4 linked regions of the Saccharomyces cerevisiae S288C genome follow. The gene in region 4 interacts genetically with the main gene of each other region. Each region holds a gene or a part of one and is shown on either strand. Other genes may lie near its edges.

What was found.
Region 1: mutations in CBT1 (region 4) and DFG16 together harm fitness more than expected from each alone (negative genetic interaction), as found in Saccharomyces cerevisiae (2 studies listed by BioGRID).
Region 2: mutations in CBT1 (region 4) and YMC2 together harm fitness more than expected from each alone (negative genetic interaction), as found in Saccharomyces cerevisiae (2 studies listed by BioGRID).
Region 3: mutations in CBT1 (region 4) and DFP2 together harm fitness more than expected from each alone (negative genetic interaction), as found in Saccharomyces cerevisiae (2 studies listed by BioGRID).

Annotation. Positions count from the first base shown.
Region 1 is NC_001147.6:384,299-390,750, reverse strand, and holds DFG16 (Dfg16p), read right to left. Parts: upstream 3,927-6,452; coding exon 2,067-3,926; downstream 1-2,066. Other genes in the region: HMS1 (Hms1p), read left to right, coding at 1-980; YOR029W (uncharacterized protein), read right to left, coding at 5,816-6,151; CIN5 (Cin5p), read left to right, coding at 6,331-6,452. UniProt on the Saccharomyces cerevisiae protein: Involved in invasion during filamentous growth.
Region 2 is NC_001134.8:447,452-451,156, reverse strand, and holds YMC2 (organic acid transporter), read right to left. Parts: upstream 1,491-3,705; coding exon 501-1,490; downstream 1-500. Other genes in the region: glucose-induced degradation complex subunit VID24, read left to right, coding at 1-276; SIF2 (Sif2p), read right to left, coding at 1,841-3,448.
Region 3 is NC_001133.9:183,654-188,473, reverse strand, and holds DFP2 (DUP240 family protein), read right to left. Parts: upstream 2,154-4,820; coding exon 1,929-2,153; downstream 1-1,928. Other genes in the region: DUP240 family protein MST28, read right to left, coding at 1-367; pheromone-regulated DUP240 family protein PRM9, read right to left, coding at 742-1,638; KTD1 (DUP240 family protein), read right to left, coding at 2,878-3,582; DUP240 family protein UIP3, read right to left, coding at 3,997-4,704.
Region 4 is NC_001143.9:43,023-48,472, reverse strand, and holds CBT1 (Cbt1p), read right to left. Parts: upstream 1,317-5,450; coding exon 501-1,316; downstream 1-500. Other genes in the region: ER membrane complex subunit EMC3, read right to left, coding at 1-279; ATP-binding cassette a-factor transporter STE6, read left to right, coding at 2,178-5,450. UniProt on the Saccharomyces cerevisiae protein: Involved in 5'-end processing of mitochondrial COB, 15S rRNA, and RPM1 transcript. May also have a role in 3'-end processing of the COB pre-mRNA.

The sequences.
Region 1 (6,452 bases), on a different chromosome or scaffold from region 4:
ACCAGTATAGTGACTCCTCGTTTCCTAATACTTCAGGCCACACTCCAGTAATTGATAGTAATTACTATAATGATGCTCTGGCTTCTATACCTACAACAACGACGGGTAGTACTACAATGACTACAGACAATGGCAATACTATTGACAGCGAAGAATACATTGATAACATGGAAGTCTTTAGTAGCGAGGAAAATGAAAACATTGATAATGTAAAGCAAACCGATCTTAAATCTGAAAAGGACTCGAGTCTTCTTTCAGCAGCTTCAATCGTGAAAAAGGAACAATTGTCTGGCTTTGAAAATTTTTTGCCTTTATCGAAGACAGAGTCTCCCTTAGTTACTGCAGACGAGATTAAATCATCTTTGAATTTGGAGAATATTGACAATGCTGACAGTATGAGCTTCAAGTTAAAAACTTCACCTATACGGAAACATTTTCATGTTAAACCCAAAAGAATAACAAGGGTGAGGACAGGAAGGGTATCACACAATATAATTGAAAAGAAATACCGTTCCAATATTAATGATAAAATTGAACAATTAAGGAGAACTGTCCCAACGCTACGAGTAGCGTATAAAAAATGTAACGATCTTCCCATTACATCTAGAGACCTAGCAGACTTAGATGGCCTAGAGCCAGCAACAAAATTGAATAAGGCGTCCATTTTAACGAAATCTATTGAATATATTTGTCATTTAGAAAGAAAGTGCCTACAGCTAAGCTTGGCTAATCAACATTTATCAAATGACACACGGGATTCTTTCGTCCATCTTACCGAGCCATCTCAACCGTTGAGTGACAACAGTAGTAGTGAACAAGTACAAAAGCAAACCAGAAGCTGCCAACGCCAACGGCAGCGGCAGCCACGACAACAACAACCATTGCATAACATTCAATATAATATTCCACATCAAAACGGCCTCATGAGCGGCACCAACAATTCACATGATATGGATTTTAACAACGCAGGAGACTTTTAATACTTGAACAACAAAATGTTTCAACACGACAGATAAAACGAAGAAGAAATACTATATACAAATCTGTACTTGTGTGTATGCGTAACATTGTAATTTTAATTTTGCATTGAGAAATCTATTTTATTCATCTCTTTTAGTGTTAGTAAACACTCGCAGATGCCTTGAGCTCCGCACCGTAATTTAGTTTAATTTATTTCTCTTAGTGCCGTCTAAATAATAACGATCTAAAAAAAAGATTCCGGGAAAAAGAAACTATACCTTATATTTAGTTCATGCAGTTAAATAAATGTTGTTAATTAAGGGTAAAATATGATGATGTATTTATGATAAGTAAAGAGTAGGGGTCACCTAACATTTTTCACAATTGCATTTACTCTTTTCACAAGTGCACGTGGTTTCGCATTTGCATTTTTCACCACAACTCTTACATTGAGGGCTTCCGGTGCTGTGATCACATTTGCACTTTTCACCGCCAGAACAGCTTGGAAGGCAGGTGCTCCCACAATGACAAGAGTCCTTACAACATTCGCCTTAACAGTCACATATTTTTACAGTCATATTTATTGAGTACTATTTGACATTGTAGTGTTCAGTGTAATATCGCTTCGCTATTCTTAGGGGGGACGATGTGCGCCCTTCTTATATAGGCCCCGCTTGATCACTACTTCACAGCCCTCTCGCATCCCTATCCTTTTTTTGTCCGAAAGACAAAAATCACTTCCACACAGCAATAAAGACGCATTTATTGTTCTTTTTCTTAAAAGTGCTTGCAGTAGGGGGTTTAGCAAAAGAAAAAAATATATGACCGGTTGTTATGCGATCTGACGTAAAGTGGAACTCATTTTGAAGGGTTTCTGCACAGAAGTCAATGCCAGAAGGATTTGGAACACCTACAGGACTGAACGTCGGACTAAAATAATGTTGGTAGAGTATGGTATTACTGTAAATTAATCGTTTATACGTGACGTTGACGATGGGATTTGATTTTCTTGTATATCTGACTTGAAAATAAAAGCAATAAATGACCACAAGAAATAAAGGCAGCTGTACTTCTGCAGTTATGTCTTTTCGTCCACTGGGCCTGCCTTAATCACTATTTTCGTAATTATAAATGTGGTTGGTTCGAAGTTCGGTTTCCATACTTTCGTTGTCACTGATGTCTGTAGCTAGATAATTGGAATCTCTAATATGTTTGTCGGCTCCTGGTCTAACAGTTGAGCCTTCTTTATTCTGTCCAATGCCATTTTTTGGTTCATATGAATTGGTTTTTCGCCTAGGCTTCCTTAATAGCTGTCGATATTTGGATAATGTCGTTTTAGTATTAGGTTTGCCATTCGATTTACTTCCAAAACTGGGATTTTGCCCAAATTTATTCTCACTTTTCATTATCTTATGTCTTCTTCTTCTGTCCCTTATTCTTTCGATTGGAGATTTCCAGGTGGGTGAAGGGGATCCTACTAAACTTGATGAATCGTGGGAAGTAGTGTTACTTTTAGTAGTGTTTAAATCCCTGTTTAACGTTATGGCGCTTAAATGCTTGCCTAAATCTTCTCCGTAATAATTGACTGTTGGATTGGCGAAAAATTTGTCCCTATTGTTAATTTTTCGTCCAAGGACTGTTTTTTTGCTTATGTGCAGCTCCCTCTTTTCCAATACTCCAATTAAGCCCCAAACGTTCACTGTTATTAAAACTTTCAAAAGATGAACAAAGTTAAATGTCCAACCTCTAACATGTTTGGTGAAAGCAGCGAAAAAAATTGTGGTGAAATAGAATAAAATAAATATAAGAATATTATACGCCAATAATGGTATAGTTTCGTGATAATTTTCCCAAAGAATTCTCAATTTCGTTTTACACTTACCGTCCGTATTAATTTCAGCAGTTTTCGGTAAAAGTATGTAAGCAAAATTATGCCATGTGAAGTAACAAATAATGGAGATGAAAATTGTGTAAATCAGTAATTCGATTAGCTTGTAAAATACCTTCAAAACTACAAGGTTCTTTCTCCAAAGAAGGTTTGCGAATAAAATGTTATCGGCTAGTGAGAGGAAGCAACCCACGGTAATTATGATATGTGTCCCCTTTTTCATTTTAAATGGGATCCAATTCCAAGTTGGTTTTCCATAATTGGACTGTAAGTAGTGAACAATATAAATCCAGTTTATATCACTCAAAATATTTGCAACTAATTCACATATTTTATATGGTGCAGTTTCTACGATGAACGATTCAAATTGGCTCGCATCCTGGTAGTCATCGTGATATTGGCTGTCAAATATGACGGCTATAGTCTCGTTTAGAAATACAGTTCTTATAATCGCAGAGAAAAGGACGTAAACATGTACAACTTTATTTCTTCTATTATGATTATCGGATGGCAGTAATAAGACAACCAAAAATAGCATCCATGTTGCCACACAGATACACCCAGAAGCAAAGGTGATCATTATCATTCCTAAGGGAAATGGGTCTTTTCCGATGTATTTACTACTGTCATCTTGAACGTTGAATTTGTTGTTGATGTCATAAACAAAGTCTTGTAAGACATGAGAGAAATTAGGATTTGCACTGCCATTATCGCATCGGATCAAAAAGGATGGGTAATTTAAAGTGTAATTATAAGCACGTAAGTGCCACGAATTACTTGCTAGAGAGATGAAGCCACCTGTCAATACATTTACCGTGCATGAGTTTTCATATTTATTTAGTAGTTTATCATCTATCAAATCAGTCAGATTGTAAGCTGGAATGTTGTCGATGTGTTTTTTATAAGGTGGCCGGTGGTCGTAATGCGGTGGTCTTTCATCACCAAGTTTATGTCCCGGAGGACCAGGTATCAAATCGGGAGGTTGAATTCTCTTTCTTGCTGCTTTTTCATACGCACCTACAAGTCCTAAATGGTAAACTAAAGTGAGGAGGTAGTAAAAATGCAATCTTATGATCATTAATCTTGCACGTAAAGACGTTCCGCAACAAAAAATGCTTGTGAGTGCAATATCAATAAGTATTGTTTTTGAGCCTTCGGAGTTGAGCTGCCATTTGGTGGTACTTGTTTTGAATATGATAGAAGCCTTATCTTTGACACTTCTTCCAGTCAATTTTCTCGCCAAGTTAAAAAAAAAAGTTACAATTTTCTCATCACCCCGAAACAACAAAAGAAAGTATATTGCTCTTTAGCCCTTCCTTGCAGATTTTTCAATCCAACGGGGCTAGTAAATCTGATATCAATCACATCGATTGTGTTATCTTCACATGTTGTTTGATAGAAATCAGACCTTCTTTTTTCTTCTTCTCGGATGTTTATAGTTAGTAAAGCTAAACTGTGTATATATGGCAATCACCGAAGACGAATTATTACAGGACAGAAATAAATGGGTTACACACCAGAAATCAGGGACAAAAGGGCCCAACGGAAATTTTATAGGTTGTTTTGTTTATCTGTGCACATAGGCGACAAAACTAAAGTTATGTATCTAAGAATTACAACGTAGTGTAGGTGAGCGGTACTTGAAACTTTCTTTTTGTAAACACCATAAAAGGATATTAATGACATCGGTTGAAATAATGACATCTAGAAGGAAAATTACAACTAGAAGAAAGCGTGATTATGTTGTAAAGAATCCGGCAAATAGAAAAGCTAAAAGATGATTGCAAGGCTAGTGAAGATATTTCAAAACTTAGTTACTCGTTACCTTAAAAACCTTACATTGTTCTCATGTATTACATGAAATTCTATCTTTTCTTTTTGAATAAGCTCTAAGTATTAATCCTCAAGTATTAATTGCCCACCACCTTCTTAAAACTGTTGTTTTTTAATTACAATTTTCTACGCTAACCCGTTTCTTCCATTTTCTCACTGTTAGTATTCCCATATAACGATCTTCTTAGATTATCTATAAAAGCGTATTTTGAGATTTGTTGCAATGACCTAAAAATGGTTGACAGTCATTCTTCTTGTTGCTGCTTTTAATAAACTAATTCTTTAGAGAAGGATAAGTACTGTGACATATTTACACTTTTTAACTAACTTCTTTGGCCACAACTAGTGAAATGTTCATCTACTGCGCAATTCAATATGCCCGCCGATAGCTAAGCGATAGCTCTTTCAAAAATTTTAAAAAAAAGGTACTATCAAACTGAATTGGAATGATTATGGTTCAAACTTACTCCTGATTCAAATATAGCAAAAAAATCAGGTGTGCAGCTATAGATCTGCCAGATACACGAGTCATTGCGAAAGGCACCATATATTACCTTATTTAGTGCCTTCTTGAAAAACAACTACAAGATCTTAACGTCACTGTATAGTGCCATTCGGTGAGCAAAGACAGGTATTGGTACTAATTGACAGTAAATGACTTATCTAACCCGTTGACGCAATGCTTCGCTTTTGCCATCAAGAATGTTGAACTGTGCAAAATGGTATTTTTTCGGAGAAACATTTCAAAATGGAAAGGTAACAACGTCCGTAGTTTTGTTTTTCCGTTTTATCGTTTACATGATTATCCTGAAAAGTCCCCTGCAGCAGCAATCATAGGGCCCACTCACTGCCATGTCTTCCCACCTCCTAAGAAATGGCTGCCCCACGCCCCTTTGACGACTTACTCCTCAAGGTAAAACTTGGCGTACGGAGAGGGGTCGAGAAAAGGTTCCGAGTGGAAATGTACGCCAATGTTTAGGGCTACGTGGAATGTGATCTCATTCTTACAAAACACGTAGATGATGAAAAGGGCCGCAAAAGTTTCTGTTATTCTTTAAATTGTTCCCAGAAATCCTCGAAGGAATGACCTAAATCTTAAGGCACTTGCTTTTAAAACTATTGTTCGTTAATTTGTTAGTAATGCAACCAAGTGCTCCAGCCCAACCGAAAAAAAGGGAAATTAACTTTACATCGATAAGCTCTGACGCAATGCGGGAGGGGATTTCCCGAGCGGAAATACCACGGCGCTGAAAAAAAAAAAATCGGAACCGGAGTTGCCTCACCGATCCCAATGGTGACATGCAAAGAAAATTTTATTGGCATTAAATCTATGAGGAAGAGGGTAGGAAGGAGTACTAGGCAAAAATCGTAACTAGGAGCAGAAGGCGAGTAAAACCCTTTCAATACTAGGGAGAGAGTGATTTGATAAGGATACCTCCTCACTCGAGAACTAGTTGATGTCTGCATCATTACCAAAGTTCATGTATATAAAAAAGGAACTGGGTGATTTATTTTTTCTCACGCATTCTGCTTACAAATAATTCATTAGATAATTTTACTGATTAACTACGACTTTTTGCAGCCGTTAATCTCATCATAGATATAGAATAACAGCTTGGAACAAGAAGGAAAACCAAAAACCTACTCAAATGTTAATGCAAATAAAAATGGACAATCATCCTTTTAATTTTCAACCTATTTTAGCTTCCCATTCAATGACAAGAGACAGTACAAAGCCAAAAAAAATGACGGATACCGCTTTCGTGCCAAG
Region 2 (3,705 bases), on a different chromosome or scaffold from region 4:
ATTTTTAGCCAAGAGAAACAATTTGACAACTACTTGAACGAACGGTTTATATTTATGAAATGGAAGGAAAAATTTTTGGTACCAGATGCCCTATTAATGGAAGGTGTAGACGGCGCATCTTATGATGGGTTTTATTACATTGTCCATGATCAAGTTACCGGGAACATTCAAGGGTTTTACTATCATCAAGATGCTGAAAAGTTCCAACAGCTGGAATTAGTACCATCTTTGAAAAATAAAGTCGAGTCCAGTGATTGTTCTTTTGAGTTTGCTTGATGTGTGATATATTCGTTTTTACCTGCATACCCTTTTCTCTTCACTAACTTTAGATTTTTTTTTATGCATATTCCCTCATCATATATTCTGTAACGATCGATATAATTTCTTAGTTTGACACCACATAGATGATAATCACTAAAAGACTGTACACTTTTCTATTTGGTATGATAACAGCATGTCTATGTCTATATCTATAAAACGATGTTTTCATATATACTCTCCTACTCTTCCCCCAGAAATCTCATGACTAATTCAAACGTCAGGAATGTCGCACCATTAACGGGCGCGGACCTAACCATTGTTGGCCCAAACCCTTTGAAAAAGGCTCTGATACCTTCTTTTGCATAAATGGTCTTTGCTACGTAAGAAATGGAATTCTTGTATTTAGGTTTTCGTAAATCATCGTTTTGTATAATGGATTTCACAACGTCCAATGGGTATACTGTCAACCACAACATTGTCCCGGAAAATGCACCAAATAAGCATAATTTCCAAGGAGGAATTTCGTTTCTTGTTAGTCCCGTACCAATTTCTCTGGCAACCAATGCTTCGTAGACAAGAAAATATGTACCAAGCCCATGTCCGGCTCTTATCATTGTGGGAAATAAACCCCTCATCAATCCACCTTGAGCTTTCAATTTTTTAATACAGTCCCAAGGACCTTTGAATTCTCTGTCTCCACCATTAGATGTTTGCGTCTGCAAACGAATTCTTATTTGTTCAATGGGCGATGCCAAGAATGAATTGACTACACCACCTGTCAACCCACAAACGTAGTACTGGGATAGTGGCAGAGTATTTGAACGTGAAAGATCTACGTCCTGTGAGCTCATATTCGGGTTCTTAGAAGCGTTGTAATTTTGGAAAAATCTTTTCATCGCCTCATTCACACCAAATTGTACTGAGACACATATACCAACACCCAATAACGGTGTTAACGCACCTTTGTAGAATGCAAACACACCCTCATTCTTTACCAAGTTACGCAATACCTCCAACGTTGTTGTTCTTGTGGTGGCTGTTTGAAGCCTAACTTTTGTTGTATCAAACGGTTGCCCTACAAGAACTTGTGCAATACCACCGATGGTACCCGCAAAAATATCCTTCAACACACGATTAGAACTTAACTCTCTCTTCTCATTCGGCGTGGTAACTTTCTGTTGATCTTCCAATTCATCCAAAAGCTGCGGCGTAGGAAATTCTTCACTCATGACTAACTGTAATTGTAATACACGAAATTATTGCGCCGCTTTTTTCTGTTCTTTATGGCTACCCCTATTTATCAATTACAGTTGTATCATCCAAGAGGTGAAAACTAATTAAAGAAACTTATTTTAACACAAGGTATAAAAAATTATAAAAAAGCAATGCTCATTGTCTTCTCTCATCGCGAGCGGCCGTTATCTTCAAAGTGATGACTCTTCGAGATTCCTGCACAACGTCACTCAAAGGCGGCCCGCGACGTTTTCCATTGCGAAATTTTTCACTTTTCACCTTTTGTAAACAAAGAAATAACAATAAGAATGATAAAATTCATCTGTTTATGTACTGTACCTAGTTATTATATGGCTACAACTGAACCTTCTTGAAGCGAGTATGCTACAGAAATCTTGTTTCCCGCACAGTTCCATGACAGATCAAATATATAATCATTGTCTTGGCTGCTTTGGTAGCTAGCGTAGAGGGGAATTGGTAATGGATTCAAAATCCCATCACGGTTACCATAAAGACTTCGTGACTTGCTGTTCAGTTTTTTTAAATCGTAGACGTTTACCTGCCCATCCATGAAAGCAACTGCGTACTTCTGTCCATCTTGTGATATTCTTCCAGCAAAAATTGGGACACCATCCACGATTGATAGAGCCAATAGCGTATTCTGCTTCAGCGACCATAGGCGAACGGAGCCATCCATCGAGCAGGATATTACCTTATCATCACCGACCCATGATGCCGATACTATGCTTTGTGAGTGTCCGTAGAAGCAATTCTGAGAATTGCCGTTACCGCCATGCCATATTCTTAGAGTACCATCGTCTGAGGCACTAAGTAGAAGTTTATTGGTGTCATTGAACTCCAAAACGCTGATAGGTCCATGGTGTCCAATAAGTTTACCAGTGGGCGTTTTTTCTGTAATTTGGTATACAAATATAGCACCTTTAGGGCCAGGAATGACAAATTTGTCATCGTCTACCCATTCAACGTCAACCCCAAGTGAACCATCGCCACTATGGTTCTCTGCGTTGATGGATGAGCCACCGGTTTCTTTTAATTCAAAGTGCTGCATGACGGTCCCGCTTATAACATTCCAGAGTATAGTGACATTTTCCACGTCCATGGATATGATATGTGTTCCATCTTTGTTCCATTTAACGGATACTATAGGTGCTCTATGAAAATTTAAAACATTCAGAAGTGCCCCCGTCTTATTCCATAGTCTTAGCTCACCATTTTCTACACCCGTGACAATTGAATTACCATCGTGTGACCAAGCAAGACATGTGACTTGATTCGTCGTTTTACCACTACTTGCACTCAGAGCAAAAGGATGTCTCAACTCCGCTATTATCGTGAGTTTCCAGTATTTTTTCCCTTCTTGATCGGTTTCTACTATCCTCGCTAGTCTTGCAACAGAATTTTTTTCACCGTATGCGAGTATAGATTCATCCAATGGATTCCAAGTGGAGGAAACAATATTATCTAATTTTACTATCTCCTTCAGTATTTTGACAAATCCGTCTAGGTCATCACTACTGTCAATAGAATTAGTATCGTCCTCTTGGGTTTCTCTTTCAACAGTACTAGCGCCATCTTCACCTGCTTTATTACTCTCGGAATTGGTTTCCAAAGTGAACCTTCCTTCAGAAGAGATCTCAGGAAATTTTTCTTTATCTATTTGCAGCGCCTGAACCAAATTGAAATCTTCAGAAAGATGATGTTCATTTAAAGCGCTGATATCACCTTTACTATCAACCATTAACTCACTTTCTGTATACAAGATTCCCCTTTGTACTAGATTCACCAGTGTACCCAAAGGAATGTGTTCTTTATACTTCTCATCAAATTCCAATACTCTTGTTTCATCCTGCAATGCTAATGCACTCACCTCGTGTCCCATCTCTTGACAATACCTCCATATCAAGTAGTTTAGTTCTTCACTTGTTATACTCATTTTCCGTGTGATGGGCCTTCCCTACCTTTTTTTTGTTTCTGTTATTTTTATCTGAGTTAGCAGTTGTTAGTGTGGGCTGTACACTTCTTTGGAAAAAAAAACCTTCAATTTCGCACCAAGGTGTTTAAATTGTTCTCACTAATTGCAAATCAAAACGAATGGTCTTGCATATCTCATAACCTTTTCAACATGAATACATTCCTAATCATTTTTGTTTATTTCTCGTTTGCTAAGTTCCGCTCCATGAAAATAGATGA
Region 3 (4,820 bases), on a different chromosome or scaffold from region 4:
CTTCTACCGCCGGTTTACGTGTGATGACATCCACTAAAAGCTCGGTCCTAAAATTTCGACGACTGACTAGCTTTGGATTACCATCACTTAATATTATTAACAAACCTACAAGAGAAGTAAAAGCAAATATTGCAGAATTGAAAACACAAGCTTCGTTGTCATTAAAAAATATAATTAATAAAACCAAAACCCCTATTACCAGGGACAAAATCATGACTGGTGTATAGCGAGCGATTTCATAGATCCAATAACTCAAGTACGAACGGAATATGTCCTTAGGAAGAGCCACATTTTTCTCAATTAAATGTGCACTAGGTTCGTTAAGTGTATCTAACTTGACGTCGGTACTTTCTGGAGGGGTCTGCATAGCCAATATATACCTTGTATTGCCTATGACTATAGTATTCCTGGTTGTTTCTGTGCCACTGCATACTGATCAAATGTTTCAATTACGCAGGACCCTTTTACGATTGTTTTTCATCTCTAGAGGCATTTTCAACATCGTATTTTCCGAAGCGTTGCATAATGAAAATGTGATAATAAGGCAGTGAGCTACTTTGTCACAACAAAGTACGAGAACAGATGAGGTTCCGTGGTGTTTTTGGGGCAACCGCACTATTTGGAGCGCTGTATATATTTATATCCTACTACAAAAAATCATAAATGACACTGAATTGGACACATGCTAGCGTCAAATACCTTGCCTGGTAAAGTTGTGTGCTAGTGTCTCCCGTCTTCTGTCTAAAAAAACTCATCGACACCAGGATACTCTTGTCGCCAATATTCCTTTTGAAATTGTTGTTCGATTTCGGCTGCCTTGGTGAGGAGCTTTATAAAGTTCGGTCCGGCACTAAAACTAGAAGACTCAGCGGCTTCGTTTGGTGTGCCAGCGGTTTCGTCATTTGATTGTGCGTCTTTAACATTGCTGGCTGACGATTCCTTTTGCTTCTTGAAAGTTCTTCCCTTAATAAGACTTAGAAAATAACGGTGGCAATCTTCATCACGGTAAAAGTAGTAGGGAGTATCCCATAGCCCATGATCAAATAAATACTGGTTCATCTTGTATGTAATTGTCCTCCATTCTTTCCCCTTTACCGCCGGTTTACGTGTGATAATTTCCATCAGAAGCTTAACTTTAAATTCCCGATCACCGATCGGTTCACTAAATGCAATTACAACCATGCATGTTCCTGGAAAGCAAAAGGAAAACAATAGTATCTCAAAGGCAACGCAAAATTCCGTATTATAAAAAAACACTAATAATAAAATTGAAGTCACAATAAGTACGAGCAAAATTACTGCCGCTTTATGACGAGTAACTTCATATATCCAATAACTTAAGTACGAACCGAATATGTCCTTGGGAAGAGCCACATTTTTCTCAATTAAATATGCACTGGGTTCGTCGAGAAAATCCGACTTGGCGTCGGTACTTTCTGAAGATGTTTGCATGCCCAGTTTATATCTTGTCTTCTCTATAGCTCTGCTATGGTGTTGAAGGATGTTATGCGGATCAAAATAGCGATCTGTCTTATACCAATTGAAACTTTTCATCACCTGCTTTTTACTTCGGAGGCATTTTTCATTCAATACTAAGTTCCGGAATGATACAAAATAAAAATGGTATTGAGGCGACATAAGTTGTTAGCACAGCAAAGATGGTTGCGGGTTAAGTTTTCTGATCGTTCTGGGAGAGTATTTACGTTAAAAAATAGGAATCAATTAAGCATAATCATGCCGTTTTGTGTGCTACATATCTGTTTCCCACTATATAAAGTCACGTTAGAATGCAATTTATCTAATTTACTACCCCATTTTAGCGTCAGTGGATTGGTAAATCCCTTTGCTAGCAAGGTACTGTCAGAATATTTCTCCTTCCTTTCAAATAATTGCACCAATATCTTGCCAATACTTCACTTGAGATTGTTCTACAATATCCGCTGTCTTGGAAAGCAATTTTGAAAATCTTCTCCGGGATTTAATGTGAAAGATTCGCCAGCTTCAGTCTCCTGTACATTTTCCTCAGCGTTGCTTGTTGGCTTCTCGAAAGTTCTTCCCTCAATAAAACTTAGAAAAAGACGGTGGCAATCTTCTTCGCAATAAAAGTAGTAAGGAGTACTCCATATTTTATGGTCAAATAGATATTTATTCATCTTGTACGTGATAATGTTTCATTCCCCTTTCACCGAACGCTGGCGTGTGCTTACCTCTAACGAAAGCCTAATATTAGATGCTTTATTGTCGGTCTGTCCCGGAGATGAAAAAAGAGGATAGAAGGGACATGAGATGGTATACTCGGAAATTAGTCAGTGAAATCAAAATTACAGATGCCAGGAACATAATCATTATCGGCTTACAATGAGCCCCCTCGTAACACGTAAAGTGAATAACTTAAGTACGAATTGAACATGTCTTTGGGAAGGACCACATTTCCCTCAACTAAATTGGCACCATCTCCACTCAACACATCCAGTCTAATATTTTTATTTTGTGGTTGCGATTGCATACACGATTTGAGTACTAAATTTTTGACGAATGTAATACGGACCAAACAACAGCTTTTTTATTCACTAGTTATTCTTATAACTACAACACCAAACCCTTTTTGAGATCCTTTTTTTCTTTTTCTATTGTTTGGATTTTCTTGGCTGCATTATGCGAAGCGCAACAATAGAATGTGACAAAAACTGACAGAACCCTTATTAAACAAATATGAAAACCTCTAAAAAAACTTACAAATACGATAGTTGTAGGCCATGATGTTTGTACAGCTCGAATATATGATGCTCAATTCTGGCTTCGAGATGTTCTTGAATTCGATTCTTGTTCTCGTTTTAAAGAAAAGTAAGTATACTTGGTGAATAAAATGCTTCCGCTTCAAGGTAAATCAGCGTCAGGATATTGCTTTCTCCAGTATTCACTTTGAGCCTCCTTTTCTATTTGTGTTGCCTTCAAAACATATGCCATCAAAATAGGGTCTGATCTAATACTATAAAAGTTGTTTAGACCATTTGAAGTCTTCCCTGCTGAGACAGGTGATTGTGTATCCTCGGCACTATTCGATGAGGAATCCGAGTGCGAACCAGAATTCACTTCCTTGATAAGAGTGGTGAAGAACTCATGGCACTTCTTGCCGCTATAGAAATAGTACGGGGTATACCATAGTCTCTTCATGAATAGATATTGGTTCATATTATATGCGACAGTACCCCATTCCTTCCCCGCAGGCTTGCGTGCGATCACCTCCACTAAAAGCTTTATCATGAACTCCTGTTCAGTGATCGCTTTCCCGAATGTGAATGCTGCAACCACCATTAAAGCCATGGAGGCTACTATAAGGGACATCACTAAGATCACAGTGCACCCGTCGTTATCATGAAAAAGCACAATCAATGAGATCAAACTCACGATTATGATGATCATAAACATGATCGGTTTACAATGAGCAATTTCATAAAGTACATAACTCAGATGTGAACTGAATGTGTCTTCGGGAAGAGCTACATTCTCTTCGATTAAATGTGCACTGGGTTCGTCGAGAGTATCCATCTTTACGTCGGTATTTTCTGAAGGTGTTTGCATGGTCAATTGATATCTTGCCTTAATATGGCACTTATAGATGTTATCCTGATCAAAATAGCCAGCTGTTTTATGCTTTTTTAACGTTGTTCACCATTGTATTTATTATTTTTGAGGCATTTTTCACGTATTGTTGCAACGTCCCGAAGGGATTCGATGTGATCGAAAAGCGTCCCGGCTGATCTATTGTGATGACCAGCTATCTCACGTTGGCGAGCATCAAGCCGAGGATCATAAAGCAAAATATATAATAGCATTTGCATCTAAAGTAAACTACATAAAATTTGTTTCGAGCGTACATAACTTTTACACCCAGATGGACTGACACTTAATTGCGGGCTTCGTAATGTTCTTGAAGTTAATGATGCTCGTACATTTTATATTAGAATATACTAGATAAATACCAAAAATTCGGCCCTAAGGCAAATCAACCTCTGGGTATTGCTTTCTCCAATACTCAAATTCAGCTTCTTTGTGAATTTCCGCAGCTTTAATAAGGTAAGCTTCTAAAACTGGATCAGAACTAAAGATATAAGGTTTTACCATCTCATTTGAAACCTCTTTTGCTGGTGTGTTTGACTGCGTATTCTCTGCACCGTTCGTTGGTGAACTCAAATGTGCATTCGACCTTGTCTGTTTGATAAGGCTTTTGAAAAATTTATGGCACCTATGTTCACAAAAAAAGTAATACGGAGTATGCCATATCCCATGGTCAAACAGATACTGGTTCATATTATATGCGATTATTCTCCATTCCTTCCCCCCTACTGCTGGTTTACGTGTAATGACTTCTACTAAAAGCTTAATTATGAAACCCTTATTCAAGGTCTCAGACACGAAGGCAGTTATACCGATCAATAAAATGATAATAGAGAGGATAAGAGAAATCACTAAAAACACAAGGATACCTTTGATATCATGAAAAAACGTAATCAATAAAACCAAACACACAGGTATTAGGAACATAATCATTAGCGGTTTACAACGAGCGATTTCATTAAGTATATAACTCCAGTACGAATTGAATGTATCCTCTGGAAGAGCCACATTTTCCTCGATTAAATGTGCACTGGGTTCGTCGAGAGTATCCAACTTGACGTCGGTATTTTCTGAAGGGGTTTGCATGTTGAATTGATATCTTGTCTTGTGTAAGGTTATTATATGGTTTTGGAGGTTGTTATGCTGATTCGAATTACGACTTGATCATGATACTAATTGAGCTTTGACGAAATATTTTAGCA
Region 4 (5,450 bases):
CTGCTTGGCCTTGGCTAGGTGCCTTTCCTCAGTGAGATCCTTAACTAGAAATTCCTTCTTCGCAGCAAATGCATCGGAAGACAGGTTCCCACCGTTTCCAATCAATAATTGTGCCCATTGTAGATATTGCCATTCAGTTAACTTTACCCTTGGTTGTGCTTCATTTGCACTGCTTCCCGTTATAAGTGTCATGATGTACTGTTTGAGTACACCCGTCAAAACCATGACAATCGAAATAGGTAACAGGACCCAATACTTCAGCTGGTCATCTAATAACATCTGCGGCGCCCTAGCTTGTTGAATACTGCTTGTTGTTTTGTCTATTCTGTTGAAGAGAAGTTGTTGTAAATGCTGGTTAATCGTCATTCTTTAACATCACAATGCTTTATTATACCTCTTCGTTCTTAGTGAGATGGCGGAAGCCAGTGCTATAGTCACCAAATAATACGCATTATATATGGATATGTACAGTTCGCAGATCTTTATGGCATATTTATCGTTTACAACCGTCTTCTGGTGAATATGAGCCAGTTGTGACCCCCATGATCCGTGACGGAAGGTGAGGTAATTCGGTTCGTCGCCAATTGACTCAGTAAAAGCTTAACTTGCGACTTGATACGCGTGCTCTGATCCAACGGTTCATCCTTCTTGTTATTTCGTGCTATTTTTAACAGCTTCCAGTAGTTTAAATTGCGGTACATTCTCGAGGATTCTTCCAATAAAGGCTGGATATAAGAGACTGCTTCGCTCATTTCAGTGTCTTGATCACCACCGTTGCTTATCAGGGAACGTTTGCAGCCGAAATTTATATTTATACCAATGGTATGCAATTTCAATCTTACTGGAACGTTTGGCATGCTGTTGAATAAGATCAGTTGCGAGAGAGATGGGATGTCCTGAACTGTCTGAAACATGCACCTGTATTCATGTTCTGACTCGCTCGGATCAGTCAGGAAATCAAGTCCCAAACAGTGACCCAACGCTGAGTTTGTCAACTTCCTCTTCATAAAGACTGTCGGTAGTTTGTCGTTTATTGCTCCTTTAGATATGCCCTCTGTTATGAATTCCTTCCATAAAGAGGGGAGATTGTAGGAAGAATCGACAAGACTACCAGCGCCACTGTTTTCCCAGTCGTAAAGCACGAAGGTGTTGTATTCATTCAAGTATTCTTGATATTTGCTTTCACGTAGTTTGTAATTTATCTTCCGCTTTAGGGCAAAACGTTGTTTGCTGGATACATTTCCATACCTAAGCACAAACTTCGGCGTTTTAAGAACTTTCGAAACCTCACTACTATGACTTCCATAGCTCACCATTTTTTCCTTGCAATATTTCTCTCTCCTTTGTTTAATGCTTCTTTACCCAAAAGCGCAGTAAACTTCTGATCAATCAATAAGACGAAACTTGAGAAAACGAAAAATCGAAGAAATATTATATATAGATAGTTGTGGCTGAATAATATATATCTGTTCAAACGTTTTAACGCGCGATAGAAAAAAGATCTCGCTGCTAACTTTTTGAATAACCATTACTACTTTTCCAAGCTATAGGCAAATGGCACCTGCTTCATTTTTAAGGTCATTTTTGCTAAATGTATCATCTTCAAAATAGATAAATCTGTAAAGTATAGCGGAGCCACAAATTTAGCAGGTATAAAAATTACTCAGCCCTTTTGGCCAAGTGGTAAGGCATCGCACTCGTAATGCGGGGATCGTGGGTTCAATTCCCACAGAGGGCATTTGAAATTTTATTTTCTATTTTTTAATTTTTATATATAATATATATAACGCGACATAGCTGTTATTACCTACTAGTAATATCCTCTCTTTTTTCAAACAATGATGGTCCTTGCACTGACAAATATGTTCCTTTCCTTTTTCTTTTCTCTATTCTGCCACTATACAATTTATTGTTTTCCACAAAGGGTAAAGGTACTTTAAGAAAATAGTTTCTTATTTTTTTTGCCATGTAATTACCTAATAGGGAAATTTACACGCTGCTTCGCACATATACAATTGTTTCAGATATGAAAACTGTTGCATTATTGCCGTTCATCATTTAAATACCAGAGCTTATAAACCTGGATATGGCTGAACTATCTCCCGTTGTTACGTTCACACAGAGAGCTTTCAAGTGCCGCTGAAAATTCCACTAGGAAACAAAGAACAAGCTACGTCATGAACTTTTTAAGTTTTAAGACTACAAAACACTATCACATTTTCAGGTACGTGAACATACGGAATGACTACAGGCTGTTAATGATAATGATAATAGGTACCGTGGCAACAGGCCTAGTGCCGGCAATTACTTCTATCCTGACGGGCAGAGTGTTCGATCTACTATCAGTTTTCGTGGCTAATGGGTCACATCAAGGTTTGTATTCCCAACTAGTACAGAGGTCAATGGCAGTAATGGCACTTGGTGCGGCTTCTGTGCCAGTAATGTGGCTTTCTCTAACAAGTTGGATGCACATCGGCGAGAGACAAGGCTTTAGAATACGGTCACAGATATTGGAGGCATATTTGGAGGAAAAGCCAATGGAATGGTACGACAATAATGAAAAATTGTTAGGAGATTTTACTCAAATCAACAGATGTGTGGAAGAGCTAAGATCAAGCTCCGCAGAGGCATCAGCCATAACTTTCCAGAATTTAGTTGCAATATGTGCGCTTCTGGGGACGTCATTCTACTATTCTTGGTCATTAACTTTAATTATTCTTTGCAGCTCTCCAATAATCACATTTTTTGCAGTGGTGTTTTCCAGAATGATTCATGTATATTCAGAGAAGGAGAATTCTGAAACGAGTAAAGCAGCCCAATTACTTACATGGTCGATGAATGCCGCTCAATTAGTGAGATTATATTGTACACAACGTCTAGAAAGGAAAAAATTCAAGGAAATCATACTAAATTGTAACACTTTCTTCATCAAGAGTTGCTTTTTTGTTGCTGCAAACGCTGGGATCTTGAGATTTTTGACGTTGACTATGTTTGTACAGGGATTCTGGTTTGGTTCCGCAATGATCAAAAAGGGCAAGCTGAACATTAACGATGTAATCACTTGCTTCCATTCATGCATTATGCTGGGCTCGACTTTAAATAATACATTACACCAAATAGTTGTTCTTCAAAAAGGCGGAGTGGCTATGGAAAAAATCATGACTCTATTAAAAGATGGATCCAAGCGAAATCCTTTAAATAAAACTGTAGCCCACCAATTTCCACTAGATTATGCCACCAGTGATCTAACATTTGCTAATGTTTCGTTTTCTTATCCAAGCAGACCTTCGGAAGCAGTTTTAAAGAACGTTAGTTTAAATTTCTCTGCAGGACAATTTACTTTCATAGTAGGAAAATCAGGCTCAGGTAAATCTACATTATCCAACTTATTATTAAGGTTCTACGATGGCTATAATGGATCGATATCTATCAATGGCCACAATATCCAAACAATCGACCAAAAATTGCTAATTGAAAATATCACCGTCGTAGAACAGCGTTGTACCCTATTTAATGATACTCTTAGAAAAAATATTCTTTTAGGTTCAACAGATTCGGTAAGAAATGCCGATTGCAGCACCAATGAAAATAGACATTTAATCAAAGATGCCTGTCAAATGGCTCTTCTGGATAGATTTATTCTAGACCTTCCCGATGGACTGGAAACATTAATTGGGACTGGGGGTGTCACACTAAGTGGCGGGCAACAACAAAGAGTTGCTATAGCACGTGCATTCATCAGAGATACTCCAATATTATTCTTAGACGAAGCTGTATCGGCTCTAGATATTGTTCATCGCAACCTGTTGATGAAGGCAATTAGGCATTGGAGGAAAGGAAAGACTACAATCATATTGACGCATGAGTTGAGCCAAATTGAATCTGATGACTATTTATATTTAATGAAGGAAGGTGAAGTTGTTGAAAGCGGCACCCAGTCTGAACTTCTAGCCGATCCGACCACTACATTTAGCACATGGTATCACCTACAGAATGACTACTCTGATGCGAAAACTATTGTAGATACAGAGACTGAAGAAAAATCTATACACACTGTGGAAAGTTTTAACTCTCAATTGGAAACACCAAAACTTGGATCATGCTTAAGTAATCTGGGATATGATGAGACAGATCAGTTGTCCTTTTACGAAGCAATCTATCAAAAAAGATCGAACGTTAGAACAAGAAGGGTTAAAGTTGAAGAGGAAAATATTGGGTATGCACTAAAACAACAAAAGAACACCGAAAGTTCAACAGGGCCACAACTTCTGAGCATTATTCAGATTATCAAAAGAATGATTAAAAGCATAAGATACAAAAAAATTCTAATCTTGGGACTGCTATGTTCTCTTATCGCAGGCGCCACAAATCCCGTCTTTTCATACACATTCAGTTTCTTACTAGAAGGAATTGTCCCATCCACGGATGGAAAAACTGGCTCTTCACATTATTTGGCGAAATGGTCGCTTCTTGTTCTTGGTGTGGCTGCGGCAGATGGTATTTTCAATTTTGCTAAAGGATTCCTATTAGATTGCTGCAGTGAATACTGGGTTATGGATCTTAGAAATGAAGTTATGGAAAAACTGACGAGAAAGAATATGGACTGGTTTTCTGGTGAAAACAACAAGGCTTCTGAAATTTCTGCTCTAGTCTTGAATGATTTGCGAGATTTGAGGTCTTTGGTCTCTGAATTTTTGAGTGCAATGACTAGTTTCGTTACCGTATCAACGATTGGACTAATTTGGGCGTTAGTATCGGGCTGGAAGTTAAGTTTGGTTTGTATTTCGATGTTTCCACTCATAATTATATTTTCAGCAATATATGGAGGCATTTTACAAAAATGCGAAACAGATTATAAGACATCTGTTGCTCAGTTAGAAAACTGCCTGTACCAGATTGTCACTAACATTAAAACCATTAAGTGCTTACAAGCTGAATTTCATTTTCAATTGACCTACCATGACTTGAAGATAAAAATGCAACAAATTGCCTCCAAACGCGCCATTGCCACAGGATTTGGTATATCTATGACAAACATGATTGTCATGTGTATCCAAGCTATTATTTACTACTATGGCCTAAAGCTGGTTATGATTCACGAGTACACCTCAAAGGAAATGTTTACGACTTTCACTTTGTTATTATTCACTATTATGTCATGCACTAGCCTAGTAAGTCAGATACCCGATATAAGTAGAGGCCAACGTGCTGCCAGTTGGATCTATAGGATTCTTGATGAAAAGCATAATACCCTAGAGGTTGAAAACAATAATGCTAGAACAGTGGGAATAGCTGGTCACACCTACCATGGCAAAGAAAAAAAACCAATCGTTTCAATTCAAAATTTGACATTTGCCTATCCATCTGCACCTACCGCCTTTGTTTACAAAAACATGAATTTTGACATGTTTTGCGGACAGACGTTAGGTATCATTGGTGAATCAGGCACA